Lepisosteus oculatus: one gene and its partner. The protein of the gene in region 1 purifies or fractionates together with the protein of each later gene. This does not show direct contact. Links are inferred from orthologs where the notes say so. Each region holds a gene or a part of one and is shown in the gene's direction. Other genes may lie near its edges. The genes, in order: ctdspl2b and pdik1l.

Evidence for each region.
Region 2: the proteins of ctdspl2b (region 1) and pdik1l purify together in Homo sapiens (affinity purification with mass spectrometry; 4 studies listed by BioGRID and IntAct, counting the BioPlex papers as one, with this or other methods). This does not show direct contact. The link is inferred for Lepisosteus oculatus from reciprocal best matches to the Homo sapiens genes CTDSPL2 and PDIK1L.

What each region holds. Positions count from the first base shown.
Region 1 is NC_090700.1:47,151,938-47,167,938, forward strand, and holds the start of ctdspl2b (CTD small phosphatase-like protein 2-B), read left to right. Parts: upstream 1-8,356; 5' UTR 8,357-8,630; exon of another isoform or gene 8,631-8,634; intron 8,635-8,706; exon of another isoform or gene 8,707-8,814; intron 8,815-16,001. Other genes in the region: protein GOLM2, read left to right, coding at 917-993. UniProt on the Homo sapiens protein: Probable phosphatase.
Region 2 is NC_090706.1:5,715,299-5,731,324, forward strand, and holds the start of pdik1l (serine/threonine-protein kinase pdik1l), read left to right. Parts: upstream 1-7,204; 5' UTR 7,205-7,621; intron 7,622-10,205; 5' UTR 10,206-10,223; coding exon 10,224-10,508; intron 10,509-12,325; coding exon 12,326-13,066; 3' UTR 13,067-16,026.

The sequences.
Region 1 (16,001 bases):
GTGGTTCAGTGAAGGTGAGATCTGGGACGGGATGAAAACCAGAAGGAAACGTGGCACTGCAGGGCCAGAGTAGCCTACCCGTCTTCACGGTGATTGTTTGTCAGTATTACATGCATGTTGCGTGTGTCTTATGACATAGTCACGTCACCTGCAGTAGAGTTCATCCTGTTTCGGTATTTCGATATTCAGCTGGGTTGCTTTTTTTTGTGGGAGTGCTGCCATTTCATGAGAACCGGCTTTCTGACGTGGAGCTCCCCCTCTGCGTGCTGTTGCTCTGCGTTATCCATTTCCTGCTCTATGTTCTGCCGTTTCTGTGCTGCAAAGGTTCTAAAAGCACCGCGTGAAGGTGAGCTGATGTATGTATGTATGTCGCTGAGGAAATAAGGGTCTAGCGTTGACGCCTTGTGCTGACCACGGTTCAGAAAATAATGAGCTCAACATCATCTTTCCAGCAGCTCAGCTGGAAAAGTATCTGGGTTTCCAGATTTCTCTATTTTTTTGCTTAGGCTTTATATTACAAAAGACAGTAAGTTGGGAGAGAGAAAATGCAACAGCAAGGTGTCCTACATATGGTCTTGTGGCGTGGACAATGCAACAGAAGGGAGAGATCCTATTAACCATTGAGTTATTAGGGGATTCTAAAACATGGTCCTATCAGTGCCCTTTCTGTGATGCTGTAGACTACTGTGACCTTATGACCTGCAACCTCCAAGTACTGTTTTCTGAAGGAGCTTCCTGATTGGTTGCTGGCTTCCATTGCAGTGGTAGGCAACATACCAACTTCCTGCCCAGATGAATCTGGGGGAAGTCCAACACTGGCACCTCAAGGCATCGCTGCCCGTTTCCCAATTTGCCATCCATGTGCAGTTTTTCCTTTTTCTTAAAGAGGGGTTTTCTTTCTTCTCTTGTTTTACAGATGATGAAGATCGAGAACTTCAAGGAGACCGTGCTATAGATTATGGAAAACGACACCAAGCCAATGATATCCTATAAGCCTGTGACTGGAATCATCTTTTCAGGAAGATTTAAGACTCTGGAGTAAAAGAGACAGGCAAAAAAAAGAAGTTGATAATTTCTTGGCCTTCTATTTCACTGGTGCTTTAGGTCTGATTTCTGGTGGGCTGTCTCTTAAATTGAGGAGGTGGCAGCTATATAGTCCTTTTTTTCCTTGAGGTGTCCTGTAGGGCTGTAGAATTGGATTGATGTGGCGCAATGGTACAGTATAGGGTACATTTCAGAACATTTTTCTGTATATTCTTGTGTATATTTTGTACTTTTTAGGGTTAATGACTTCTCTGTCCTCCGCTGTTATACTAAAGTATACATACTTGTAAGTGTAAATTATTTCTAATTTCAGATTTTCTTAATATAATTAGAATGTATTGCATTGGAAAATGAAGGGTCTGTGTAAAAAAAAAATGCAGCTGTACATTTGTAATGTTTATTTTTTACAGGAAATGAAGGTTTTTTTTCTGTTTAATAAATTCCCAGCTGTTCCGCTTTCTGCTGCTGAGTGCTATAGGAAAGTAGTTGGGGCTGGAGGGACGGTCAGTGGTTTCTGTAATCGAGAGGAAGTGGGACAGATCCTTGACACTGGCCTGGGGTTTCCTGGTTTTTTTGGTGGGTCAGTTCTTGGCAAGAAGAATGTCACTGTTGTAATGGTTTTTTTTTTTAAGTCTTGTTTTTTCTCTTTCAAAGCCAGAGTTTTAATTTTGGAATCTGAAGTCATCTCTTGCTGGTAAAAGTAAAAGGATGGAAAGGCGCCGGGTGTTTTTTTTACCCAGAGCCTGATGGATTGCCTTGGCTGCGGTAGTGACCTGTGACCTGCACACACTGGGCAGGAGGGAAGGCCCTGCTCACAGATTGTGTGGCCGTCGTTTGTTGCTTTTTTTTTGTTGTTGTTGTTTTGTTGTGACCAACCATGGGCTGAAATCCCATGCACGGATACTGTAGCATGATTTGAAATCGGTTTGATATTCGGATAGAGAAGTCCTCATGAGACATTGCCTCTTTGCACGTCTGTGCGAGACTGTACTTGATTTAACACCAGTGCAGAACTCTGGGATAGATTCCGTCACTTTTATATACTGAAGCTGCTTAGCCACATATAAGTGAGTGTAGTTCAGGAATGGTTTCAATTTTAAGGTTTTTAGCCATTTGAATCCTTAACTTTGTGGACTATATTTGTCCCTTCAGTTATTCCGATCATGGGTTTAAGTACTAAAATGGGAATGTTACGGAGGTGTAGTTGACATTTTGTATGCGAGTTCTGCATATCGAATGTTGTCTGGTGTTTTTTTTTAATGAAATCACACCGGGAGCTGGGTGTTTAACAGATTCTGAAATTTTTAACATCTTGGAAAATGATGTGAATGCACAATAAACTAAAACCCAACAGCCTCTTTCTTTGTTTTCCCTTCATGCTCTCTGAAAAGGGGTGGGGGTTGGGGGCAGATAAATGTTGAAAGAATGTGTAGGCTCCTCGGGCTGCTGCAGTTCTTTCCTCCTAAAGATGGTCTCTCCCAGGTAGAGTGAGCGAAGCATTTCTGTAGACCAGTGTTCCCAGCCCGGGGGGACTCCTGTATCTGCTGGTTTATGTTCCCGTGCAGCTGGTAATCACTGGTCCTAATTGGAGCCTTTAATTGATCTGCATTCTTAGACTCTCAATGACCTGTTTCTGCACCCTTTGGCTTCAGAAATGGTGCATTCTTTCCAGCTGCTTTTGCGTACATGCCACCCTGCACTCTTTCCTTGACTCAAGTGTCTTCAATTTTTGCTGTCCAGGACTCTCGATTGGCAATTTAGTTTGTGATGAACAGCCAGGTGCAAATGACAGTGTGTCACATGCTCCCACTATGAGCTTGTTCTTGGCTGCAGAAGACCCACTGGTTACATTTTAGAGTACAGGCCCGAGAGAGGGATGTTCTGAAACTCAGAAATTGTTCTTTTTAGCCACAAGCTCAAAGCCAATTCAAGCACATACCTCCAGCAGCAAACTGAAATCAAATAGCCAGCAATTAAGATGGCTGGGGCAAACAGACCGCCCAGAAGAATACCAGGACCAGGGCTGGCTGCCACCACTGCAGACCAGAGAATGATTGTTTAAAAACAGAACGGTTGTCTACAATTGTATGCAAAGATGATTATATTAAAAGTAGGTTTGGGTGTTGTACCCAGTTACGGCAGTAGATTGCTCAAATGTTGATCTTGGTGGTCTATTGGACATCTCCTGGGGTGGGATGATATCTTTCATGCATCATGACCTCATCAGATACTTACAGTATTCAAAGGATCCTTTTGGCTTTGCCCATGAAGACCTTATCTGGAGATTCACTGCATATTAAAGTCCAGCCGTCCTGTTACAATGGTTACTCAACTGAATTATGGTCTACAGCCGTCTTTGTGACCAATCTTTACGATGATGCTGCAATGTTGGAGAGAGGACAAGCACGACTTTTTGATCTTTCCTTGAATGTTTTCATGCAGGCTCTAGTGCCGTCTATAGGAAAAGGTGGGGCGAGGAAAGCTCAGCTCCTTAATGAGACAACATTAACCCTCTAACCTGATGGAAAGGAAAATTGGCGGTAGATAAAAATAAAACCTATACAGCCTTCATATATACATCTTCACACTTCATGGTACAAATGCTGTATGCTTAAAATACTCGGATTTAGTAGTCATGTTTCACCATGCTAAATGATTAAAATTGGACCTCATATAGTATTTATTGCAGTTGATGTTTTCTTGATATGTTTATGTAACCAATGCACCCCTGTGTATAAGGGGGATCTCAGCCGCCTGGGCTGAGGAAGGTCTCCTTTAGCTTAGCTGGCAAGTTCCCTGTTGCGTAACGCTGGAGACTCGGGTTCGCGCCCAGGCATCGAGGGGACGAACTGGCAGGGCAGGAGTGGCAAGGGTGGAGACCCCAAGAACCGTTGCAGTTAGCTGCGCGGAGCTGAGGCATTGCTGGCAGTGCTCTGCTCCGTCTCCCCAGCAGAAGGACTTGGGTGCCTGCACAGCAGTGCAGCACAGCCACATCTGTGTGAAAAGACTCTGGACCCAAGCACACAGCACTTGGGGGCTCGGTCCGTTATTCCGATATCCAGGTTCCATGGATGTAACAGTGGGCGTGGGAGTTCAATCCAATTATTTTTATTTCCTGAAACATTTAAAAATTCTAGAAGGCGCTTCCCAAGGGAAGAGAGAGGTGTGTAGAGTATGTAGCTCAGAGACGTGCACAATAGGAGGAGGCGGCAGCCCCTGACACACAATGCTTATAGTGGTGGATTGAAGTTTGTTTTTTTGCAAATAGGTCCACAACGTTCTCCAGCTGAGTGACAGCCCCCGGTCCACGATAATTAAGGGTAATACGAGACGTTTGTGGATCGGCGGTTCCCTGTGCTCTTGTGTCCTCATCCTCTCTAAAATCCACAGGGTGTGGGTTGGGGAGCAGCGAGTGGGGCTCTGGACTCATGGGTGGAAGGTGGTGGGTTCAAATCCCAGGTGGGAAAAGGAACAGGTAAAGGTTTATTCTATGCTGAAAAGGGAAGAAAGGAAACACAACGTTTCAGCTGTGGAGCCTTCTTCGGGTTTCCAGGTGGGAAAATGCTGTTGTGCCCAATTCACCCTTATTACTCCAGTAAAATATTCAGTTGTATACATGGGAACATACTGTATGTGAGTCGCTTTGGGGGAAAAAAGCATCACCCATATTAGTAGTTAGTAATTGTCATAGGTGTAGATACTATCGTGTGTCCGATCTGCAGGATACTTCGTAATGGATTATGTAACCTAAGCGATGTTAAGGTACTAGGACTTCTGCTACAGGTGCAATCTCCCAGAACCGCCAGTGTCCCCATAAACCCGGACAAGACGTTAGTAACAGATAAGTGCTCTTTTTATTTCTCTGCCATCTATAGCATATGAACTGCCTTCGTCATAAGATAAGACAAGAAACAAAACACTAAATAACGCCTCGACTGGAGACCGAAGTCTCCATTTTTTGCGCCGTTTGTTATTTTAAATCCCGTTAATATTGTGACCAAGCCGGTTATGGATGTCTTTGGTTTTAAATTGATCCCTTCAGTTCGTAGCAGGGGAGTCAGAAAGATAACGAAGGATTACCCGGCGACAGTGTACAGAAAGATATATTTTTCTTTTTGTTAAGGAATGTGTACACAAAAGAGTAAGACATTCCACCAAATATCTTTAAGCTCTCTAATACACGACTTGGGTTCCGAAGCACTCATCCCTGATACCACCAGCTGTATCTTTCATAATACATCGCCATGACAACCATTTGCATGTTTTCAAAATCCCGGCGAATTTCCACCCCAGTGCCTGTTTTTGCCATTGTGAACACATGCGCGCGCTTCAGCTAGCGGCTTCGCCAGAAAGCCGTCGAGCAGCGCCGTCACAGTCCCAGGTGGAAACTTCTCATCTGCTTTTCTTATTGAAACACACGAATGTTTTTTTTTTTTAAATGCATGCATATCACCGCAAGAGCGCAGTTCTGTTTCCTTTCAAAATACGGAGCCGCAGCCGCTGTTTTTAAAATGGAAGGGCAGCAAACACGTTTAGGAACAAAAAATAATCATTCTGATCGGCTATATTTTGTGGTGTCTCAGAGAGATCTGGCTTTCGTTTGGGGCTGTAAGGTACTGCCCTCGCGTTCCTACTTATCCATTCTCATCCTATTAGTTTCTGGAATTAACAGCTTTCTGATACCGAGCTGCCTCGTCCAGGTAATCGCAGATTTTCGGAACGCGAAAGTAAGGTGTCAGCGAGAATGTGACGGCGTGTTCTTTTTGGGAACTACAAATGATCATACAAACAACTCCGAGACACTAACGGGCCTGAGTGAGATGTCTAGGCCAAAGGGGACCCTGCCCACTGGAAAAAAAATCCACATTGTATTTAAAAAGGGCAAACGCGTTCTCTCTACTTTTGTGGACCAACGAGGAACGTCCTAGCTATTGAACCACGCACGTTATATTTGGGGGACATACAAAGTTGACAGTCATCCACCCACCAGTGCACCGAAATGCCGTACAGATTGAAAATGGCCCCCGAAACAAATTTTGTCATTATTTAAATTAGTCAAATTTAAGATAAGGTAGTTTAGAACGCAGCGTCCTTCACACTGTGGGGAAGTCTCACTACTGTCTGTAGGTCCGGAATGACTATCTTGCATAGTGTCCCCACGTACACAGTCATAGCCCTCACCCCACGCACAAACGGAATAAAACGCAAGCACGAACACGAATGCACTGTGAGTCATCCGTATCACTGCACTAAATACAGGGCTGTGTGTCGCCTGGAACAAGCGGTCTTTTCTAGCCCCGGTCTGTGCCCAGGGAAAACGGCACATCTTCGTTATTGAACGTTAATAGCAAGACCTCCGGGCGCGTTTTACTGAGCTACGAGTGGACGCGTCTTTGTTCAGTCTGCACTGGGGTGGCTGATCGGAAACTCTTCGACCGCTGCCTTCCTATCACAGCATCAGTGAACGCGGCTTTTTGAAGGCAGCTGCATGTGTGTGTGCTGAGGAGGGGCCAGCGTGTGGCACTGCATTTTTACATTTGCATATTTACTTTAGGCTTTGAAATATCTGAGGCCCAGTTGTGAGAATTCCTGGGGCGCCACATACTGCTTTAATGCAAATTTAATTTGACAGCTGTTTATCCGGCTAGGTAATACTCAAGGTGCGTCTCCCCCGTGCGGCCGCACAGTGATAGGCGCGGCAGTAATAACTCGTCACAGTCATAAGCCGTTGCTTTTTAAAGGTGCGAGTGGGGGACAAACCCCACGCTCCGGGTGGCGGTGCTCCGCCTTACATCCCTCGCGTGAGACAGCCCGGTCGATTCTGGCAGGACCCGCGCGAGCCTGCTCGTGCTGTTCTATTGTCTTTTACCTGCCGCGCACTTCGATGCTAATGACGATTAAAAGCCCGGCGAGTCCGTCTGCCTCTCCGGAGGAAAGGCATCCCTCCGCGCGGAGCTCCCTCGGCGTGCCGGAGACGGCCAGCTTCATGTGTGTCATCTTAACATACAAGCATGTTCTCTCAAAGGTGACCAGTGCCATTTCACACACGAGACAGACGGAATTAGCATGAGATCGCGGAGGTACACATTCATCCCTTACAAATCATTTGAATTTTAAACCAATTCACTACACGGGAAAGTGATTATACTGGTGCTCTACTGGAGGAAATGTCGGATTTTTCGTTTTTAGCAAGAAACTCGGTGTCGCGTTTAACCCGACAATTGGATATTAACGGATATTAACCAGCTGACCTCATGCTGGTCCAGGTCAGAAATGCAGATATTCCGAGCGAGCTGTAGTAACGCATTTTTACTCTAGTGATTACTGCACGATTGTTCCCATCGGAGTGCCAAATTCCTATGCCGCCGAGCCACGGCAGCTTTTCTTGTTCACGAATAACTTGTCAAAAAACGTGGGGCTTCTCATGGGGGAATAAACATAATTTTCTTAGCCGTGGAGCCCACGTTGTCTAGTGAGGAATCTTCGGAGGGGATTTGACCAGCGTAATTTAGCATCTGAAGCTCGCGTTCGCGGCTTTGCGAAGGTGTCATTTTGTAACCTTCGTTAACTTTACACGTGTGATACAGAAAAGCTAGCGCTCCTTTACCGGCTTGATGAATGTAATATAGCGCCGGCAGGTGTATCCGAACGTGTTCTCAACAAGCTGATGCGTTATTCACATCTCAGCGTTTCGATGTCGAATTCAACCAGAACTCAAAGGCATGAGCACAGATCGCTATGCGCGGGGTCTCTGTGGGATTTCGGGAGGATGTTCGGGACACGGCAGTGCTTCCTTGAAGGGTCTGAGCAATGCGTCCCTGCCTGTGTCCCCATACACCTACGAGTCGTGTACGTGCCTCCGGGCTGTGGGATTCTTTCAGTTCCCAGTTCAATTCTCCTCCAGGAATGGGGGGTGATCTCCCAGCGAATATTAAATCTTACACGTCAATCGGCACTTTTTAATCGTGTCCGAAGACTCACGTTCCTGCCTGTAATTCTGTAGCCTGTAATTCTAATTTGATGTTTAAAATTGTATATACCCGTCATTTGTTGTTGGTTTTGTTTTTTGCTTGATTGTACAGTGTCTTTTCGGGTTTTTTTTTAAAACGAGCAGAAAGTCCAGTTGAAAGGGATTAAATACCCCGGGATCTATACAAATAAAAAGATGATAAAATTATGACAACAAAATGCTGATTTAATGAGCGATATGAAGCAGCAGAAGGGCACGGCGCTGTGGAGACGGCGGCAGCACACGCGTGTCGCCACCTGTGACGACGGGCTCGCTGGGTGGCGCTGCGGAGTTTGTTTGTGTTCAAAGTGGCGGGGAGGGGAGGAGCGCAGGTCGGCCTGTGCTTGCGCCTGCGCAGCGGGGACACGGCTCATCCGGGTCTCTGCCATTGAGAGTGTCGGTGCTGCGGGTCGGTAAGGAGGCGGGAAATGGCGACTGGAGGAGCAGCGCAGGAGCGGAGAGATTGTCCCTAAACACAGCGAGTCCGAGACGGCCACAGGCAGCAGGCAGCTCTCGCTGCGCCGAGTAGCAGCCAGGCACAGACAGCCACGTCGGGAACGACACACTCCGACACCTGGCAAGTGAGTGGGGCGCTATTCCCGCGGCTTTCCGGGGGGTTTGTGTGTCTGTAAATAAATATTGACTCTTCTGTCGTGCTGCACACCGAGGCGCTGTGTTTTTAAATCTCGGCTTCTTCTGCCTACCGGGGGATTTCAAACATGACATTTTCCGGGCAGCACAGATCAACTAGGCAGACCGAGGTATTTTTTTCCCCTTTGTTTTGCTTTCTTATAAATTGCATCAGCACCGCTACCTGGTTGTTTCCTTCCACTTTAGTTCATCTACCTTAAGTGGTGCCTTTTTATGTATTTTTTTTTGCCTTGCTGCGAACAAGTTGCTTCTACCTGGGGGCTAAATTACTCATTAATGTGTAGTTGAAGACTTTGTTTGGGGGAGTCGGTCTTGAAAGAGAAACAGGTAGTGGCGCTACGGCAGCGCTGGAGCCAAAGTCATGCCTCAATTTAAACGCTTGCTCGGGTGAGTGGGAAAACGGAGCGCTTTTTTTGTGTTAGGCCTTGGCCTCGTCTCCCATCTCCCGCCCCGGGCTTGATTATGAAGCCCTACCGATTTCCCCTTCCCCTTTCCCGCCCACTTCTCTGGCAGGGAGGGGGGGTTCTCGCGTGTGCCTTTTACCAACACAATAAACCCCCCGAAAAAAAAAAACCGTTTACTCTCCGAAAAAACGCCCATGTGTTTGCGATGTAGTGCTCTCGCCAGTGCACGGCTGAAGTTTGAAGCTCTGCAGCCGGGAGAAAGTGCGGCTTTGTTTGTTGTCACTGGAGTTGCCTGGGCTCGGATTCACAGGTTTCATTCCTCGAGCTGCGGCTCGGGGGGCGTTGCTCGCGCGCGGCGCGGTGCTCCTTCTCGCTCCGCTCGGCGCCGTCTCAGCTCGCGCTCGTGTTTACCAGCGGGGCTGCGTTTGCGACAGGAGAGCACGTTAACTTTATTTTTTCTTTAAAAAAAATGCATCGCGAGGGAAAGTTTAATACTGTTTTGTAGCTTTACCAAGCTCCTGCACATTGTGGGAGAATACGATTTACTTGACCGTCGGTGCACTTCGGCAGTTTTTCTAACGAGTCTGAGTATTTCCAGTCGCCGTGGACAGAGGAAATAAGCGTCTTGAGTGCTTTTTTTTAACGGCGTCCTTTTACAATTTCTCTAAACCCTGATACACGTTTCTAATTTTTTTTCCTGTCATGTGCGGTAGGCATTTTAAAGTTACCAGTATTTTTAAATCCCCGTGTTACAAATCCTAAAAACAGTATTTTAAGTTTTATTTGGAAAGGTTTTCGCAAGTGTTGGAAATCGCGCAGCGCGTTGAGTGTCATGTCATCTAGCGATATCCTTTCTTTCCGAATTATTTTGTACTACTAACACTTCACACTTGCAGAGAGATTTATAGCCTGTCATTTTCCTCCCAGGAGTCGCCAGCAGCAGCTGTAGGACATGTTCGTAGTTTTTCTATCTTAAGGAGAGAGCCGATTGCCTTTGAAGTGTCCGTACCTGATCGGAACATGTCACAACCGGTGAATGAACTAGAACTGCCGTTACCTAAGTCGTACAACAGTGTACGTTTGCATGGTGCCTTTCAAGGTGAAGGTTTTGTAGCCTGGCTTGTCTCGCTCAGCAATGAAGTGGAATGTGGACTTCTGTAAGGTAAAGCGCGGCTTTCAAGCCTGCTGCATTCGGTAATGATCCCCCGCCTGCGTCACAGTGACATTCCTCTGCTACAGTCGTGCAGTAGGGATACATCAAGTCTCTTCTGAGACTGGGGGACGGTGGGGATGGAGGGTTTGACTGAGCCTTTTTGACGCGTCAAGAGTTCAGTGTCCTTCCATGTGCTCTGAGATTGGTCAAAGTTGCCGGCACAATTCTGTGATTTTTGCCTGGGCATGTTGGAGCCAGTCGTTTTGTAGCTCACACGCGCTCTGTCACACGAGAGTTTTACAGCTGGGTAGTTTAATCTTCGTCCCCGTTTAAAAAAAAGTGGGATTCTTCCCGTGGTTTGCTTTGAAAATTTCTCATTTTTTCATAATGCCTGAAAATGTATGCAGGCATTATAAAGGAACAAATTAATAATAGGAATATAAATACCACTGCAGCGGGACGAACAAACATTTTGTTGTGCTTGCTTAGAAAACAGCTTGCTGCAGTTTCGCATAACAAGATTTCTCCTGTTGGTGAACCCACTGACATTAATAGCTGCTGTGGCATATACACTGTTGATAGAGATGTGACTAATTCTCTGAACAGACTCAATAGATAGCCAGCAATTCTGAGTGAAGGTCCCCCTGTGTTTTAGTGGTGTTGACCTTTCTTCAGCATAATGCCGGTTCCCAGGGATGTGTTTAAGTGGTGCCTGAAAAGCAGATCTGAAAGTTAAATTGCTGGAGATGCAAATTGCTGAACTACAGGTGATTGAGCAACAATGTTTCCATATAAAAAAGCAGGTGTAAAGTATTTTAGAAATAATCTCAAATCGCATTAGCTTAGTACACAAAAGCACATTCTCGGAGTCCTTCATTAACACTAACAATTTAACTGATTCGATTGTTACACTAACTGTACCCATATTTTGGGAGTTTCTTGGGGGGACCTCAAACCTTTACTGAAGCACAGTGGGCATTTGAATGACCAAGTTGTTCTGATGAATTGGTTTCATTAGATTATCCCTTGTCTTAAAAAAAACAAAACCATTCTCAGATTATCCAGCTCTTTTCTTTTTGGCGATTCAGCAACTGTGCCATGTGTAGGATAGGGTGTCCTGTGTGGGTAAGCATGGAGATGCCATTGGTGGTGTTGCCGTGTGCTGGTGTGATGCCAGTGGCGGTGTTGCCGTGTGCTGGTGTGATGCCAGTGTGTGGTGTTGCCGTGTGCTGGTGTGATGCCAGTGGTGGTGTTGCCGTGTGCTGGTGTGATGCCAGTGGTGGTGTTGCCGTGTGCTGGTGTGATGCCAGTGGTGGTGTTGCCGTGTGCTGGTGTGATGCCAGTGGTGGTGTTGCCGTGTGCTGGTGTGATGCCAGTGTGTGGTGTTGCCGTGTGCTGGTGTGATGCCAGTGTGTGGTGTTGCCGTGTGCTGGTGTGATGCCAGTGTGTGGTGTTGCCGTGTGCTGGTGTGATGCCAGTGTGTGGTGTTGCCGTGTGCTGGTGTGATGCCAGTGTGCGGGCTGTGCCAGCTCTGCCTGGGTCTGCCCTGCTGTGGTGGCCTGGTTAGCTGGCAGCTTGCTCTGCAGGCTGTAAGGTAGGAACATGTCCCGTCATCTTTGTACCAGAGCTTAGCTGCACATGAACATTACTGAGCTTTCAACTTTACTGCACATGGGAATAGGACAGAGGTTGTTTTTTTTACTGGCTTGAAGGACATGGTTTTGTTTTATTCGGGGAGTAAAGGCAGCTGTTTCAGCTGAATGCCTTATTCATTTTTCCTTACTCTTCTGAACCTGCCTCCTAGATGGTTAAATGATTTGTAATATATGCAACTGGAGTGAAATGTATTTGTGTGAATTCTGAAGCATTTTAGAGTGATTTTGTGACAGTGCAACTCATAATGCAACTACAACTACAAATACATGCAAATAGCTTTAGTCTTAAGAGGAAATTTTTCTTCACATATCTTGAATCTCCTTTAACTGTTAGTATCATTGTTGTGCACTAACATAAATGTATATAGTATGAAGGGGAAGTAGGGGGAAAGTGGCATCCTCACTCGTTTTTAGTAACATTTCTCCTTAATTAGCCTCAGGGGAGAAATGCAGAAGACGTGGAAGTAGTGCTATTCCTTGGATGGAATGATATTGGGGGGTGGATGTCTTCTGTGCATTTATAACATCTGTTTTTCATTTAAAAAACATCAAGTGTACAGTTACTAGTGAAAGATGAACTGACTGTCTGGTTCAATTTATGTAGAATACTTAAACTTTTCATGCCTTTTTTTTTCTTTTAATGAAAACGAAAGTGGCAAAGATGTTGCTCGTGCTTTTGGCAGCGCTGCGCTGAAAACTGCAGATGAGTCATGCTTTGTGTTGGTAAAAATAGGCAGGGAGACTCGAGAAGCAACAAAGCTGTTTCTGCTGCAGCCAGATCTGGAGCATGCTTACTGCATGAGCTGAAAGATGACAGATGCTTGCGTTGTTTCTGGCTGCATTTTATTCCAGTGTTTCAGATCGGGATGCAGCATCAGCCGAGTCGTGGGCAGGGCTATTCCCTTGTCCTGGCCAGGCCTGTCAGTGCTCCTGACTCGTTGATTCCCCCATCACCCCTGGCTTCTCCATTGTTCATACTTCAGCTGGCAGCACTGTGCCTTGGGCTGTCATTCCTGAGTGTGACAAAGCCATAAGGATATCGCAGTCTCCAGCCAACATGTAATCAGGTCTGAGATGTATACCGCTCCATTGTACGTCTAACAGGCGTCTGTGATTTCTGTTTGAGACTGTAGTAGAAAGCAGGTATCTACAGTGGTAGCTTGATGTGCACTCTCTGTTACATATTATTTTTCTGTCATGAATTAAGCAATTTAAAACCAAACTTTCTTAGTCTCTAGTCACTGTAGGAGTTGTTGCTTGATGGCCAGGCGGCAGAGAAGAATTCTGTTCGGTAATCAATTAATAAGACCTACGGCTGAGTTAGTGAGGTAATGGAGGGGATAATGATTCTGTATCGGGAGCTTTGTAATGTATTGGCTGGACATGGGTTTGACTGGCAATTTAACACGTGTGTAGGCCTCGTCTACACTGGAGGTGTTTCATCTGGTTTTGCTTTAGGATTGTTGTAGATAAAACAATGCATGCTGACTTTGCTATGCTCCTTGTAATCTGGTGTTTTGCTGGGCTGGATTCAATAAAGATGTTCCTTGCGCCAAGAAACTGAGAATAGGCAGTGTATCAGAACATCAAGATGCTTTCAAATATTTATTCTGTGATTTGGAAGCACAAAACCTTTGATTTCAATTTACAAGCCTGGTTCTTTACTTGAAGTGGACCAGATTATAGGTATAGCTAGTATAAAACTATGTAGCAAAAAGTCAAGTTAATGTATGCAACTAATAATGGTAGATTGAAACAAATTTTCAATGCGGTGAGCACATTTCATCAGTTATGTATTCCCACAGTGTATTATATGAATTTTAGAGAAAGCAGCAGTTTTCTTTTTATTTTACTTGGACGAGATCTACTAGAAAATCCATTTCAGAGTCTTAGGATGCCTTTCATATGTGAAGTCTGTTATAAAATGTCTGTTTTTTAACCTGGTATATACTTGCTTTATGAAAAAATGAGGTGTAGTGTAAGTGATTCTCAAGGATCTCTTCTAGGTACAGATGTATGTTTTGGAATTCATAACAGTTTTTCTTCCCAAAAAGTCCTTCTTTTCTAAACATTTTGAAAACCTCTCACTGCACCGGTATATAGGTTCAGATAGTTTATCTGTTTGAGACGGCTGTTTTTCGGAAGAGAAGGACATCTGCACTACCTTTTTATAACATTTTCTTGTTAAAATTGCAGCAGAATGTGCACTGCAGTTCAGTAGGCAGCACAAATGAATCGCCCTGTCCATTAACAAACAGAGGCAGAAGCTTTAGAAACGTTTCTACTTCGCAATCATACCCGTAAAGCCAGCAGAGAAAGAACAGTGCTTTTGCTTCATGTAGACTTAATGTGAGACATTGCTGTTTAAAGGAGATGATTTCAATTAGTACTGGACACATTAATTAGGAGTATGCCTGTGTAGTGCATCCTTCCCTGTCAATAGGTGATATACAGTAGTTGTGAAATTGGCAGGCTGACAATAGTTTGACAAGTCTGGACGGATTTCTTGGCAGTGGAGGAAAACCCTGAGAAATGGGAATTGTATTCTTTAGGAATGCTTATTTTCAGACACTAAGTCTGACTGCAAGGCTTTATGAAAAACAGTGGGATATGTCATTGTTTTCTTTTTGCTAATCTGGGCATGCATATGATTCCAACTGGTTCTAGTTAAAATGTAATATTTTAGATGGTGTTTTTTTAGGTCTTGCTATGTTTTTATGGTTGGACTGAGTGACTGTAATGCACAACATTAATGGCTGCATCATGAGCGCCGATGAAGGATGTTTGAAGGAGCAGCAACCTGCCTGTGAGTGAGCATGGGATGCAGACAGAAAGGCATTCAGTTTGCTGCATATCAGCAGTGCCAGTGATCTTTTCCCCTCATCCCAGTATTGTTGGGTTGAGTTGCATGTCATATGTAAAAAAAAAAGTAATGTTTATCACTGCAGTTTGTTTGATATAAATACATCAGCCATTTAATAGTAAAGTTTCAGAACAGGCATTAAGCTTAGCACACTTTCAGCAAGGTCTGTAGACTAGCTCTGCAGCATTCTTGCTATACTGGGCAGCAGCCTGTTAGAGAGGGCTGTCAGGCGGATACTACACACTGATTCACAAGGGTCTGTTTCATGAACGCAGCAATATTTCTCATGTTTACCGTCATTCTGTCATTTTGCAGCTGGTAGATATTATTTGCCTGTTGGATGCAGTAGCTAATTTTCTGATTTCTTGGCTTTTCAGTCATTATGCTCTACTTAGCAGCTTTGCATGCAGCTCTGCAGCGAAAGCTCATCCACTGTTGCAGAATTTGAGCAGGTCTCCTCGCGACCCGAGTGGAGCTGGTCTCGTCCGGGTTTTGTCCTGGCTGTTTTCCACTGCACTTGCCAGGGCCCACAGATGTGTGGCTGATGTTTATGAACGCGGAGTTTGACTAGCCGAGCTGCATTATTTAAATCTAGTTCAAACACAGAACAGGACCACAGGTTTTTTGCCTGAGGCAATTCTGGAGGTTCCTTTTTTTTGCTTAATACATTTGAAAGAGAACGTATATGATAGATCGAGAAATCTCAGCTTTCACAGTCCACAATGACATATTGTGGTTGCAGAGGAAATTATATCTTGACTGCAACCAGATGTTGAGCTGTGGTTTTGTATGCATTTTTCAAGGACTGAGATTCAAAGAAAGTTGTAACCTGAGTTTTTACGTACAAAAAAATAAGAACGGCATGTTAGACGCTTCAGTTTTTCAATGTGACATTTCGGCAATTTCTAAAAATCACTGTTGTGCACATAAAGCAGGGTAAAGACCGTAACTATTTAAAGTCTTATAAAATCAGTGTCTAAAACTAATTGAATTGGTTCTGTGCTAGCAGTGCTAGCGTCTTGGTTTATCCATAGCCTGGGTGAAGTTGGTGGCTGACCTTCATATAATATTGTGCCTGTAGAAATTACACACACTTTGCAAAGTTACACATATTCAATCAGAACAACCTGTAAATGAAAAACAAACAAATGTTCAGTCGTTCAGCAAAGGATTTACATCAGCGAACCCTGAAAAAATGGTTTAATTAAGTATACTCATCCCT
Region 2 (16,026 bases), on another chromosome or scaffold:
AGCAAATTAAGTTTGCAGACATAAACCAAGTTAACAGCCCTCTTAATTGGATTTGTGCGACAAACACATTTTGATCAAATGCACAGGTTTTGACAAACATTTGATTTTAAATAAGAGAGCAGTTTTAGCTCTTACATGGTGAAACATTAACACCAGACAATTTCTGGATGTTTTATTCTGACACTGCGTGTAGAATATCACGTCTTACTTTGCTCTAATAACTAGGGGACTGGGGACTGCAATTCTGGAGTGTAACGTTTAACAAAAAAGCATGGCCTCCCATGTTTTTTTATGTAGCTTAAGGATGAACTTTGACCTAACCCATGCCATAAACATACTCTGTCTTGAGCACAGCTGTTCTGATTTGTGTATATTTATATTTTGAATGTAGTGTACTGGAAACAGGAATATATTTAAAAATTCCAGTTATTGAAAAGACTAAAAAGATCCATTAATAACTTAACATTTGCTTGGAAAAGCAGGCAAATCTCCACCAGATAAGAATCGCTGCTGTGTTCTGGGAGCTAGGAGCTGTTGTCAGTAGTAAGATGTGTTTTCTGACATCCACCCTTTCCAATAGTCTCCTACACACAATGGAATCTCATAATTGTTCGGTTTGTATTTTGTGTTTTTGTAAAAAGTTAGGGACAAAAGAACCTGCTTGTATGCCCAAAGATGTGAAAAATCTTTTTTTCAAAATCATATCTTGGTTGTGCATAGAAAAGTGTTGTTATTGTTTTTTATTTTTTAAGAAGAGCAAGTGCAACAGTCAGCAGTCCTCAGTACAGCACACTTGAAAGCAGTGGCTAAAGGACTTGATTATTACAACAGGCTAAATAAGGTTGTAGGTGTATTTTTGTGATTTTGGACATATTTAAAAAGAGCTGTGTTTATTAGTTGAAGCACGTATTGATTTGTCTAAGAGTTAAGATCTGTCATCTATTTGTACAGATGGTCCTTTTGTAGATATTCCTTGACAGTAGTATTAAGCTGTTTACAGGCACAAATTTGCTTAACCAGCCATGACAGTGCTTATTTCTTTGTTACAAATCAAATATTGCTGAATAGAAACAACACAATAAGTGCTAAATCTGACTTTAACTCATTATTTTAATTGGTGAAACTGATGCTCAAATCAGCTGATATAATCTTTAACTATGTATGTTTCTTTTCCTTATTTCCAAAATGCATCTTGGATACACAAGGTGTCTGGGGTTATGGTCAAAATGGTAATTTATTTTTATCTGAATGTTGTGGAGTTCCAGTTTCTTGAAAGATTACCAGGATACTTCCTTGGAAGAATTTAAGATGATCCTAGTTAAAACCAGATTTAAAATTCTTATTTTAAAATTAAACATATAAAAAATACTGAACTCCCAAATTTGAAATCATTTCAGCTTTTGATGGGAAATACTCACTCTGACCACCAGGGAGCAGTATTTGTCTGTTTGCATAGTGTTCTTCAGTTTATCACCTTTTATAAGTTATAGCACTGAGACATTTGAAATGAATGCTTAATAACCTTTTCTTTTTTTAATATAAAATATATAATCTTTCGATATGCCTCCATATAATCATGATGCATTAAGTCCAGTGGATCTGTTGCACTCTGCTCTTGTATATGATTATTGTACAGATACTACTGTTCTATTGTATGATGTTTTTCCTCTTTTGTAATTCAGTCCTTAGGGGGATTAGAGTAGGTGCAGTTTTCCCACAGCGGGACGGAAGGGCAGCATAATTATGACTTGATGACATATTATTGAGAGTTCAGTGGAGACAGAACTAGAAAATATGGCATAGGCTCATCCTGCAAGGTATGAAGATTTTCCTAGCTTGGAAGGCCTTCTCAAATATAAATATGACATTTACAGTAAGATTGTAGTAAGTCTTGTATCAGACAAACTGTGCAGCGTCTTACCAGTGATTTAGGATGATTTAGGAATGTACTAAACACCATGCTTCCCGATTCCTCCCGTTGTGTCCTAGTGTTGTGTTGTGGTGGTGGGTTTGTTTTTTTATTATAAATGAAAACAAGATGAAAAACCTTGTAAGCAATCTATACAGGTCTACCTCAGGATATTGTAGTGTGAATAGGGACAAAGGCAATTCGCCTCCATTGTAGTTACCCTTTGGGTTTTGCTGCACTGGGGCAACCAGAACATTGTCCTTTTTTCCCGTGTAGAAAGTTTTGTTTTGTTTTTGTTTTTTGTGATGTCTGACATTTCCAGAATTGTGCAGCGCGGGTGTCGATGTGTGAATCTTCTTTCCTCCCTCGCGCTGGTGTCCACACACGCTGTGCCAGCTGTGCCAGCGCCGGTGCATGCAGTTCTCTGCCCAGATGGGTGGCCGTTGGTGTCGAGTTAGTCCTGCGTGTGTGTTCTGAGATGACAGAAGGCAGCCAGGTGTGTTCACTGCTGCTTGTGTGGCCAAATGCTGCCAGAGGCCTTCATCCTTTAGGTCTTGCTTGGTCAAGGGTACCCCCCGGGTCCCAGAATGGTTATGGTATTGGTTAGCATAGCTTTGTTCTCCTTCCTCATACTGATCATGAGTTATATTGACAGCAAGGAGGGGTGGTAGTGTTATCACTGCTAGCTTGCATCTCCATGTTCGCAGGCCTGACTCCAGAACTGGCTACCCTCCTGCATGCTCTCTCTGTCTTTTTGTGCTCCTTTTCTGTGCACTCAGATACCTTCCCAACTCCCAGCTGCTTGGCAGAGTGGGACTGATTGGCTGCTTTAAACTGTCCCTTCCAGTATCTGGTTCTTGCTTCCCTTGAGGAAGGGAAGTGAGCACCCCATCTCATTACTAATGACATTACCTGACAGTGGCTATGGAACAACTCTGTCCTAGGGTTTGGAATCAGAGTAGTTCCTTGTGGGGGAAAAAAAGAAAATCTTTCTGGACCTGAAAGGAGACTCGGGCTTCTTCCTCTCATTAAGGTTTTGTGGCTCCATCTCTTGTCAGATAAGAATGGTTTATACCCCAGGGGATTGTTCTACTGGCCAGGTCCAAATCAGGATTGTAGGGAATAAGGTGTTCAGTGGGTGGTATGTTTTTTCTTATGAGTTAGTCTTTATAAAATATAAAGTTTATCCTGTTCTACATTTTTCTACAGCCTCAGAACACTAATGAAAATACTACCCTCTAGAAACCAAAGGACCCACGACAGCTAGGAAGATCTCATTATTCTTTTTTATCACTGGAAAAATCAGCTTAATGTTGAAAGTAAAGGTTGCGGACCCACAGTCAAAGACTTCATTTAGTGCACATGAAGGGAGTCTTCCTTACATTTCCCTTACTACTCGCCTGCGGCAGTCTGTGCTATAGCCATTTTGGGCTCTGGGACGACAGCTGGGGAAGTGTTCCTCGTGCTGAAGCATCAGTAGGGCTTGTGTGTTTCTCTTCTGGGCAGGGGAAGAGGGCAGATTGCCATTGTTTACAGAAGGAGAGGAGGGAAAAGGCTGAAGCTTGAATACAAAAGGGTTTTTGCTCCAATAGACATATTGGGTGGGGTAAGGACAGTTCTGCTGTATTTCCTGCTGCAATTGATTGTGTGGCTTTTAAGACTCCTGTAAAAGAAGAAGGAAACCAAATCGCCGAATGCAGTGTCTGTGGTGACGTGCAATATGTCTGCCATGGTATTTGAGTTACCGTTGTGCTTTCAGATCCTCTACTTGCAGGGAAATAGATAACAGCCACACTCTCCTTTATACCCTGCTATCTGAACACCATACACACCAAAGTGTCATCTTCATTTTAAACAATACTCAGGGTTGCATATTAAGCACAACTTAGGAACACGTATGACTTGCACAGAGGCCCTTGTGTACGTGTAACTGTGCTTTTATTGTGTGTCTTTTGTTTTGTTTTTAAATTAGACATTTCATTCAGAGGTGTGCGTTCTATTGGTGTAAATGCCTAATATAAATCAAAAGATTGTATATAAAGTGACCGAAGAATGTAGTTATGTTTACTGCTATAAACCAAAGGTTTATGTGTAAAACTCCAGCTTTGGGGTGTTTTTCCTTTTAAACTCCTTTATAATTACCCACGTGTCAACCAAACCAGGTGGGTTTTGGGATTGTTTGGGTTTTTTATTCTTTTTTTTAAGTATTTGAAGCATGCATTACAAACAGAACTGTGATCACAGTGTTTCGTAGTGTTTAAAAACATCTACAACTTGCTTTCTAGTTAATAAAAGTATGTCCATATAAGAACCACATGTGTCTTTTGCCTTCATTCTAAAAGATCCAGGATATGTACTTTCTGTTTGGTGCTTCTTACTCTGGGTTTTTTTTTTATCTGCATGGGAAATTCAGAAATGGCCCTAGACTATCCTCAGAAAACCCCGCAATCTTTTCACCCAGGAAAGAAGAGAGTAAGCTCTTGTTTAATTCTCTGTAAACGTTAAAGAGTCCACCCCCTCCCCAGTAGAAGAGACTGAAAGAAGATTCACAGAGAATATTGCAGCATTCTGTTTAAACTGGCTTTCAGAAAGCTTAATTTAAAAAGTATTAAGAAAATAAATGCAACACAGTAAAAAATAAAGCTGTATACAGCATGGGTGCAAAGCAGTAATGTGAGCATCTTGGTGGTGTGTCTCCCATGTCTACAGAACATAAGTGCGCTTATCAAGTTACGGTCTGGGAATTGTTCGAATTTCAGGGATGCACTATAAAGGTGGAAGAAGGAAGCAGAGGAGAGCGGAGAGATCAACAGAGCTGTCTAAACAGACAGCTGGGGCAGGAGGGACACTGAGACTGCAGGAGGAGCGGGAGAGGAGGGCGGTGGTGGAGAGAGGGGGAGAGAGAGGACGACAAAAGGGGGAAATGAGACGAAAGGGAGGCCAGACTCAATCAAGAGGTGATTGAAGATGATGGCGGTGCCTCCAGAAGAAGATGGCTGTGAGACAGTAACAGCGGGAGGAAGGTCTGAGCATCATCAGTACAAAAAGTATACAAAACTTTTTGGGAAGAGATAAGAGGACCATGGCTTAAAGAAGTTAACATTGTTGTCTGTGACGCCAACCAGAAGCATAATTTTAACAAGCCTTGCCAAACCAGCTGGCTAGCTAAAGTATCAAGGATATTAATATGTACCTCTCCTCTCATTATTTAACCCAGAAAGTGGCTTAATACTCATGTAATAGTTCAGTGTGTGTTTCTGTCACAATTCACTTAAAATGTATGTTATTTGTCTATTGCAATGTAAAAAATCTGTATACCGTGCAAAAAAAGAACTTGTTTTTATTCTATGTTGTGTGTTTTTAGAAAAAAATCATACCGATTTTGAATATTGATTTGATGTTTTTGGCTTCAGTTTGATTAATTGATTATTTATGATTGACCGGGCGATACACTCGAGTGAATTTGTAGCATCAGCACTAAATCACTTTGTGACTGAGAGAATTGGTTGGGCACAGGTGATGGGAGAGGGCTTAATGTGTTGAATGTCAGGCCTGGTGAAAATCAAGAAAGAAAAACACAGAAAGAAACCAATATGTCCAACTTACCACTTAATGACACTTTCACATTCTTATTGTATAGGAGGCTGGACTATGTTAGTCCAGTGTTGCTCACCGACAGCCATTTCTAACCTGGCAAGATGTTACAGTCATATTCAGTCTGGCAATTACTGGTCACCTGACATGGTGACCAAAGAGCCACACCACTCCCCCAAGACTGATGTGAAGGTTGAAATATTGTAGCCTGGCCAGCAGTGTCTCTGGAGAACTCCACTTGGAGTGTCTCAAAGAAGCCTGACTGCACAGTACTGAGTGCTGGACATCCCCTGCTGCCCTTGCTGTGGGTCCTTCCTGACTTGAGAACCTCCCATTAGGGAAGCAGGGACAGCGCACACCCTCACACAACAAAAACTCTCGCAGCCCTCTCCAGGGAGTCTCCAACCAGTCCACGTTATGCACTACACATCGAGACTGACAAGTTAAATATCCATCCGCTTTCTTTATAGAGCAGTCGGTTCAGAATGAAAACTCTAGATGTTCCAAAAGCTTTATGCGCAGTTTCATCGGGGTAAGAGAGATGCAACGTCGGTTCTCTTGCGAAATGAGAATGTGACAGTTATGACGTGGATGCCCAGCTCACCAGACTGGAGAAGTGGGAACCACCGGTTTAAATATTGTAATATTGTAAATCCAGGCTCTTTGACCCTTGACCCCTGTACTTCAACCCTTCCTGAAAGGAGAACAGGTTGGGATTGGATCTCTGGTGGGGTGTTTCTTCATTACTTTTTTGTTATTTTAAACATATGGAACGCTGATAGATTTTATGTATAGATTTAAATTGACGATTGAAGATTAGTCCCACTAAACATTTTGTGAACTTCCATGAACCCCTTATTTAAGACACCAGATCTGAAATATATGTGTCACAGTATGACCATTCCAGTGTACATGAGCTGTTTCTAACATTATCAGGTAAGCCATTTTAGATTGCCTGGGAGGTTTCATATGTTTGTTTCTGTTAAGATTTCCCATTAAAAACCTAATGTGAACTTTCTGTTTTTGGAGCGGCCCCTTTAAGAGAATATTTCATAGGGTAAAAAATAAGGGGGGCGGTTGCGTCTTTCTCGTTAAACGTTACTTAATAGGTGTAAAGCAAGCAGCGTTTCTGTATTCCACTTCCTTTTTTATGTGAGGTTTATTGTTATCTGTCTATTTAAATGAGGGACGAACCCCATTTTCTTCAGGATACAAACACTTCTTTCTCCTTTGTCACCCTTTTAAAATAAGCCTACCCGTCCCTGAGCCACTTGGAGCGAACCAATCCATACTTCTTTAGAGGGCTTTCAGCGCAATTGTTTTCGCGGAAAGTATATCGTGTCAGATCTTAGACAAGGATAGACCGTGTTATTTAGAAAAAAATATTAATTATTACACTATTTAAATGCGGATCTATGTTTTGGGAAACGATCCTTGAGCAAGGGAGTTCTTGAATGACTCCCCTCCGGATTTATCGGAGTGAGCGATGCCCGGCGCGTGCACCGAATTTGAAAATGGTTTCTTATACGAGCTCTGGCCGTGGCTGCGGGGTGACGTCGCCCCCTGCTATTAAATATACCATCGTAGTGTCTCTTCTTCTCGTGTATCAGCTTGTCATTTGTATAGTTCAATAAAAAAAAATAATATTTGGTCAAATATTTTGTCTTGGAAGGGGAGGGAGAGGGAGGGAGGAGAGATTTGTTTTGGTTGGGTTGGGTGATGGAGGAAAAAGGGGGTGGGGAACCCTAATCTGCTCCCAGATGTTAAATTGTCCTGAAACGTTTCTCTCGTTTTGAGAGGTCACTCGTCAGAAACAATCCTTCCAAAACACTGGGGAGTGGTTTTTTTGTTTGTTTGCTTTTCCGTGTGTTTCAGAGCTACCGTCTCCTTCCCGTTAGGGTGAGCGGCGGCGGGCGGGCGGGCGCGCGCGCCGGGACCGGGAAGCTCCTCCGAAGCAGGTCCGCGAGCTCCTCTCGCTCACTCGCGCAGCTCGCTGGCACGGGAAGCAGCGCGAGAGCGAGCGCGAGCGCGGCGGTCTATAATGGCTGCCAGCAAAATCCACAGCGCGGGGGAGAAGGCAGCAAATGATCCCGTGAAAGAGAAAAACGTTTCGATCAGGTAACATCCTTTGGGGGGGGTTTATTTTTATTTGATCTGATGATTTGCCTTCCTCGTCGTGTGGCAGGTAGATGAAGACGTGCGGGTTATCCCCCACTGGTGTAAGAAAAGCTGTTGTCCAGGGACACGGGGGACAATAAGCAGTGGTTTCGGATCCATTAAGTGTTACACACAGTATTGTGTGCGAAAGAGCTGAGGGGAATTGTAGTAACCTTCGTATTTTTTCAACTTTCTAGATTAACGTAGTGTTCGCACGCAATCCAGGTCCTCGGTCTCCTTATTTGCGGTCTTTGTGAAGAGGGGCTCGCTTCAGTGTGAAGGAACATTGTTAGCAACACGCCTGTCGTCCCATTGTGTTTGTGTATTGCACTATAAAATATTCAGGAGCCACGTTTTGCTGCTCACGGATGGTGGCGGGCCTTATTTTGTCGTGCGGGCGAAACCTTGTTTTCTTTCTCGTTGGATCCCAAATGCGCCGGCATCGCCTGGTGTTGTTGTGTCCATGTTCTGAACAGGGGTGCTAGGAGCAGGACTTGCACGGCTCACAACCACGCTCACGTCCCTGGCTCTGCTCAGGGTGATCGTGCGGCATGCTCTATTCTAGCCTGTGGTTTTAGTTGACAGTCTTGCCACCTGCGCGGCTGAGCCCGATCTGGTTCTGGTTCGGGGTGCACACACCGCAGGCGGGAGCTGCAGTCCACTTCGTGGGCTTACAATTCACTCTTCTGTTAATGAGCGGTCCATTACCGACAATACGACTGAGCTGGGTTTAATTTCAGAAACCTGACGTGATGGCTTATGCCTAGCTTACACACTAATATGACAGGGGCCATTGAGGTCGAACATGAGCTGAAGACAGTCTAGCCTCGCCGTGTAGGATACCCTTACCACTGTTCACGAGTAAAGACATTGTGCAGTCCAGTGTCCAGTCGGTGTTTTAGACGGGTAGCCCCAATGATAGGTAAACAGTGACAACAGTAACTTCACCACGTTGCACTCGAGTTTTCTAGAGTTTGGTGCCTAAAAAGGACGTTGAGGCGCGAAACAAAACCGCAGTAACGAGAGTTTCCAGTATTGACGTTTGTCACAAGCGGTGTGTTTTGAAATACGAGACGTCCCAGTGCATTACCACACGGTTGTGCTTCGTAGCTTTATTAGGAGCGGGATCTTCCCGGAACACTCCTGTGTGCGGTACAGAAAGTGAAAGCACTGGCTCGCCCTTTGCAAACTGGACCTAGTTGAATAGAAAACAATAGAAGGGTTGCTTTCTGACGTTTGAAAGGAAATCGCAGAGTGTTTGCGAATGGCTGCTTTCCCTTGCATTTTTCAGTCGTGTTTTAAAAATTAAGTGCAGGGCACTGAGCTACTCCGTTTCAAAATCGAGCAAGGGCAGAAGCTGCATGCTCTTTAAGAGACGTTTACAACATCTTTGTGAAGGTTTTAAAGCTTTTAGAATAGTTTCCCCCTTTTAAAACAAAGCACGAGAGAAACCTGGACACAAGTCAGCATGTTAGTGTAGGATGGTGATAATGCTCAGCCTTTGGATAGGAGTATTACAGAAAATACCGTTAGTTCAGATTGTGAGTTGTTTTGTCTATATATATATACCTCAGATGCTAAAAGAATTGCATTTTTTAACAGCATTACTGTTGGTTGACTAAATTCATGGGATTAGTCTTTATTCTCACTTGCCACTGAGAGCAGCCTTTGGTTCTATACAAGGTCCCATTTATTTATCTCGAGGCCCAGAACGTTACAGCTGAGACAGGAAGAGACCGAATTGCATGCCAAGAGAGACTGCTCTGCTCAAGTTGCAATCAAGGAAGTAGAGGCTGTGTACATGTGGTTATTTTGTACATCAGGTGCTTTTTGCAACATCACAGCCTGTGGACTGAAATGACAGTCCAGAATGTATCCACGTGCAAAGGTGAAAGCAAATTGTAGAGCTCTGTGTCAGACATAGGTTGAGAAAAGGAATTAACAATCAATAGCATTTTCTCTTAAATCTAATTTTACCATGGTATGAGACAAGCTGTTATAACGTACAAAGCTGGCTTAATTTTTTATTGTTATCCTGTACTAAGTAGCACTATGGGCCTAATATTAATATAATGAGATATGTTTTTCAGCACACTTTTAACAAGAATTGCTGTTAAATATTTTTTCTGGTTGCTTAAGATGAGGAAAAGGATTCTGATTTCACAGTAGGATACACCACAATAATGCTTTTGCATTAATTCTTATATCTGAGCAGTTTTCTGCAAACTGTGTTGTAACGTGGAACTGTCAGACTCTACAACAGAAGCAAAATAGTGGAGGGGAAAATACTGCAAAAATTTGATTAACCCAAGTGAACCCAAGAATAAACCCAAATTATATATTAAAAGGTTTAGTGGTTTAGGGAGTTAAAAGGTGTATTTGGGATGATACCGTAGTTTAAAATATTATTGCTGAAATCATCAAACTTGTTTTATGTACATTCAAATATTTAATGAATTCTCTGCTGCCCCTTTCATACTGCCAACTATGAAAGTACTGTCGATTTGGGAGAGCACTCTCCAGCTCTCTGTCTGCTTTGTTTCAGCGAGTGGGTGGCGAGAGAATGGTGAGCAGCCAGCCCAAGTATGAGCTCATCCAGGAGGTGGGGCGTGGCAGCTATGGTGTGGTGTACGAGGCACTGGTGAGGAAGACCGGAGCTCGTGTGGCCGTCAAGAAGATCCGGTGCCACGCTCCTGAAAACGTGGAGCTGGCCTTGCGGGAGTTCTGGGCTCTGAGCAGCATCCAGAGCCAGCATCCCAACGTCATCCACCTGGAAGAGTGCATCCTGCAGCGAGACAGCCTGGTGCAGAGGATGACGCATGGCTCCAGCTCCTCGCTCTACCTGCAGGTATGCGGCTGTTGGTTTTGTTGAAGATCGCCAGTTTCGTTATTGTCTCACGTTTGCCGGCCCCAGTTTAGTTTAAGCCTGACTGTGTTTCCGCATGGGTGCCGTGGCACTGAAAACAGAATCATGCTTCCCCCACTGGGATGTGGGTGTGTGGAGTTTGTTGGAGACACCTGTGGGTTGCTGTATGACACCCACTGCTGCAATTTCCTGGGTTTATTCGGGGTCATGTCCTGCAAACATGCAAGGTTGCCGTTAACCTTGCATACAGCAAATGTGAAGATGTGACTCTTGATTTTTCCAGTGTAATTGTTGGAGAATACTGATATTTAATATTAATTGACTATTAAGAGATTTCCTGATCACCAAATCATTGAGGACCATAAGCACTGCAATAATTTATTGTTTATATATATATATTATTTAGATAAATTATTTATTTGATTTAATACAGGTATCTATTTAATAGGCAGGTTTTAGAATCTCACTGAAAGTGTTTTTTTCTTCTCCCTGGATGATGGTGTCAACTAAGCCAATTTTAATGATTTTATAAATTTTACCTTACCTTTCAATAGTATTAAATATTATTTATTAAATATATAAGTTGTATATAATCTGAGTCTTTTAATTAAGGGACATGTTTAATTGTATTAACATTTTACTGTGGAATTTCTTTACAGTATGGGTGTTTTTTTTCCTGAGAATTTTGTGACCTGGACTATTTTTTTGTGTAGCACCTATACTGTACATGGTAAATTGCAGGTCGGAGCTTGTAGGTACTCACAAGCTACCGGATGTTTCTAAGTCAGCAGTTAGGATGCATCTCATTCTTAGCTCTGTCCTTGTTCTTTAGTTTTGTCTGCACTTCATTGATAGAGCACATTCCTCTCCAGTCCAGTGTTCACATGATCGGTGCTAACCACAACATTTACAGAGGAATAGTAGCAGATTTTGGAAAGGGTTTTATTTTTTCATTTTTTTCTTGCATTCAAAAGGTCTCTTTCTCCTTGGGCTATTATGTGACGGGTGTTAGTCTGTGTGTCTCTTTGTGCTTTGGCTGGTCACCACTGTGCCCTTAATGTGGAGAAAGGTTGGGCACACTTGTAGGTCCAGCTGTTGGGTCAGGGCTAAATGCGAGTCAGGTGGTGCCCTTTCAGGAGTTACTGCAACGTCCTCCTGTTTAAACTGTTTTATCCTGTGCATGTAGCGTCTCCGAAGTAATAAATACATTGACATCTCGGTGAGAGTGCCTTTTAATTCTTGATTATGAAATCACAGCAGTGCATGAAAGCATTTTAAATAGCTTGTTAGTCACTTCAGTGCTTTGCCATGGCAGGAATTTTGGCAGCCATCCCAGGTTTCTTGCAGAAATGTTTCTGTTGGTGTTTTATGTAACTGCCTCAATTGTTTTCTAATGCAGACAATGCATTTCATTTTGTTATAGGCTTTTCTGTATAAAATGGATGATTTCCCCTCTTTTATCAATCCAAAATATTGAAATCTGCGTGTCCTTCATGTGACCTTTTTCTCTACAAATTGCATAGAATCTACTGTATTTAGCACTTGTAAGAAATAGAAAGCGTTATTTGCACTTCATCCTTTTTTGTGTGAAAGTTGCACAGCGCACTTTCATTTTTTCTGGAGGACTGTCATTGCTTTTTTAGCACAATGACCATGTTTTGTTCTGAGGCTGAGATTCCTTGCTGATATCAATCTCTGCAATCCTACTATAGCACTGCAAGCTATCACCTGCAATAAAATGAAATTCTTATATCTGTACAGGTAGTGTTGACAAATAACATCACTTTTTTATTTTCAAGCTGGTGGAAACATCATTGAAAGGAGAGATTGCCTTTGATCCACGTAGCGCCTACTACCTGTGGTTTGTCATGGACTTCTGCGACGGGGGAGACATGAACGCCTACCTGCTTTCACGGAAGCCCAGCCGTAAGACCAACACCAGCTTCATGCTCCAGCTGGGCAGTGCCCTGGCCTTTCTGCACAAGAACCAGATCATCCACAGGGACCTCAAGCCAGACAACATCCTTATCTCGCAGAGCAGGACTCCCACAGGCGTGCCTGAGCCTACGCTCAAAGTGGCAGACTTTGGCTTGAGCAAGGTGTGCTCATCTTCTGGGCTTAACCCCGAAGAGCCCGCTAATGTCAACAAGTGTTTCCTGTCTACAGCGTGTGGAACGGACTTTTATATGGCCCCGGAGGTGTGGGAGGGTCACTACACAGCCAAAGCAGACATCTTTGCTCTGGGTATCATCATCTGGGCCATGCTGGAGCGCATCACCTTCATTGATACGGAGACCAAGAAAGAACTGTTGGGGAGCTATGTCAAGCAGGGCTCAGAGATTGTGCCTGTTGGGGAAGCTCTCTTAGAAAACCCCAAAATGGAACTCCACATCCCCGTCAAGAAGAAAAGCATGAATGCCAGCATGAAACAACTCATTAAGGAGATGCTGGCCGCCAATCCACAGGAGCGGCCTGACGCCTTTGAGCTGGAGTTGAGATTAGTAAAAATCGCCTGCAAAGAATGTAACTGGGATACGTGATATTAAAGGAAACTTCAAGACGCACACTAAATAACTTTTCTGTGACTCCTGAACGACTTGTAGACAATGGAGCATCAGACCTTTTCAAGAGAACAACACTATTCTAGGGTTGCCGTCTGAAACCAGGGATTCAATTTAATGAAAACGAAGTTAACAAAACTGTAGAAATAACTGCAGTGGTGGTCCATAAAAAATTGAATTTTCAAGGTTAAGTTCATGGTGGTTATTTGAATTTGCTTGGTGCATGTCTTACTAAGAGCCACAAAGAACTTTGCTGCTGCCCTGCCTCTGAGGGCTTTCCCAACAGTGCTTGCTAAGGGTATAGTTTTTAAATGCTGCTAGTTCAAAGGAAAAACCACAGGGAACAAGATTCATTTGGATATTTTGAAATGCTGTTTGGACATTCAACTAGCTTCAGAAGGTTGCATATTGTTGCCTACACAGATGTGAACAGTGTTAAATTATTTTCTTCCTGCCAGACACAGCAGGCAAGCCAATCATTCTTACCAATAGCAACATATACCACAACTGCTAGTTGGCAATTAGAAAATCCTTTTCATAGTTTAAAAGATAATCTAGCAAGTTCCTATAATACACAGTAAATTATATACATGGTCAGGTTTTACAGATTAGAACATCTTAGTATTTGTGTGAAAATGCTATCTACAATTGAGAAATTAAGAGATTGTGATGCAATCAACATTTTCTGCCCAGGAATGCCCTTTCTGTGGGGAAAATTAATTCATTCCATATTTGTGCGCAAAGGGTTGCAAAATGTTGTCCATTGCATAAATATAAGAAGATGATATTCAGGCTGACGTTATTTGAAATAGTTTTTAATAAGGCTCAATGAATACGTGTTGAACAAATTAAAAAATATATACACAAATTGGATTCTCTATTGGGATTTTAAAGATCAGTATGATGCTTTTTTTAGCTCTGTTTTTGCTGAGCTGCTGATCTTGGCTAGGAGCCCTCAGGGAGTGCTGCCCTGGCTGTTGTACTGCCACAGGCTTTGCAGGATGAGTAGTAAGTAGTTAGTGAGTGAGCAGGTGGGCACAATCTGTGGCCTTTCTCCTGGCATCTTAGTAACATCAAGGACAGGTTTCTCACACAGCAGAGGAGAAAATAAATGACCTCCTTATTTAATTCTCGGTTACTCTTTATCTATTCTCTTAACATTCAATGCCCAATCCCATTTTTAAATCCTGATTTCAGTCCCTGCAAATCTATTGCCAGAAATGTGGGATTAGCATGCTGGCCTAAATATTGTACATCTTTCCTTCAGTCTTAATTTTTGTCTGCTCTAGTGCTGGTTCTGTACATGGGTCAGGTATGTGTAGGGTCAGAACAGGTTAATCAACATAATATGCTCATATTAAATGGGGAAAAAAATTGTTGGCCTCTGATAATTATAAAGTATGACAGACTCTAAATGTAGATCAGTCTTCATTCAGAATGGCTAGTGAGTCTGTATGTCTTGGAGTTTTCAAAATGCCTGCAGACATTCTTGTCATTTTGAAGTTATAGTAAACTTAAACATGCTGATGGTCAGCCAGGGAAGTGCCAATAAGGGCTAATACAGGGCAGGATCTGACATGAGGTTACACCAGTTCTTGTCCATTGTGGCTCTTTGCAAATCATCTGAGTCTTCTCAGAACCACTGTGGTGTATATTACACTTAGACATCTGTTTTATCTGCAATAGAAGGTTTTGATGCTATCTGCATATCATTTCTGCAGACTAGTCTGCTGGTTTTGAGCTTGCTAAAAGAAGAAAATAAGGTTTAACTTGGATATTCTTGACTTGTGTACCATTTCTGTTGATTCCATCGCAGTGCCCTTTACTGGTCAAAACTTAAGGTTACATTTTCAACATTGTAAATTTTACAAATTTACTTTTCTGCATCCTTTTGAAGGATAATTAATGTTTTGCAGATATGAGCCAAGGTATTTGCTTCCCAATGTTGATTTTTGAAGGAAAAATAAATACTTCAAATAGTTTGATCAGTTTGGCAGTCTGTTTTCCCCTGCTACGTGACGACACTTATTACCTATTTGCTCATCCCTCAGTAGTGCTAGAACTTTGGTTTTTTGGGTCCATGATGCAAAGAATACTCTCTTGGTACCAAACCATTGCTGCTTAAAATCATCACTCTGTTCTTGCCTTTGCTCAGTTTGAAGCCAGTGGAAAAGCCATTTCCGACTTAATGAATTTTGCCTTCCCTCAGTGTCACAGCACTTTACCCTGCTTCTGCAGTAGTCTCTCCACTCTCACAGGAACCTTCCACCTCATTGGCTGATTTTTTACATTACTTAGAGAAGCTGTAAATAGTCATTTGTTGTTCTGACATTAAAATGTTTGTAGTGTTTAAGAACTTCTTAATAACATAGATGCATGGATGTAATGCTATGCATAATATATTGCATTTCTCATACAGTGCATATGTATGCATAGGAAGGAGAATGTTGTCAATCCAGGTTTACTGGATACTGCTGAAACATTTAACTTGCATCTGCATGGTTCTGCAGAAGGCAGCTGACATTTATCAAACTCGGCGTAGTGCTTGGCTTTGTTCAGTGTTGGGAGCCTTACAGAAATACTGCTTGGCTCCATTTAAAAAATCCATTACAGAGATGATCTGAAATAACTGGGGAAACCAGTTAAGTCCCTGGGGATTTTTGTTCCATACCATGCAATATGTTTTTATTACAGAGGAGAGTAAGCTATAAGTAGTATTCAGTCATTTGCAAATATTTTGCAAGCACCTGGCTTTCACCTTTTTTCATAAAATATAATCTGTTATATTGTGGAATTTGCAGTCCTTCCCAGCTGTGTATGTGCTGTTACCCGATTTAATTTGTATTCAAGAACTAAATATTTAAGCTACTTTTACGTTCATGGGCAATAATTTAAATCGGATCATCACTTTTGTCAACTTTCAAAATGCCTCTGATGGA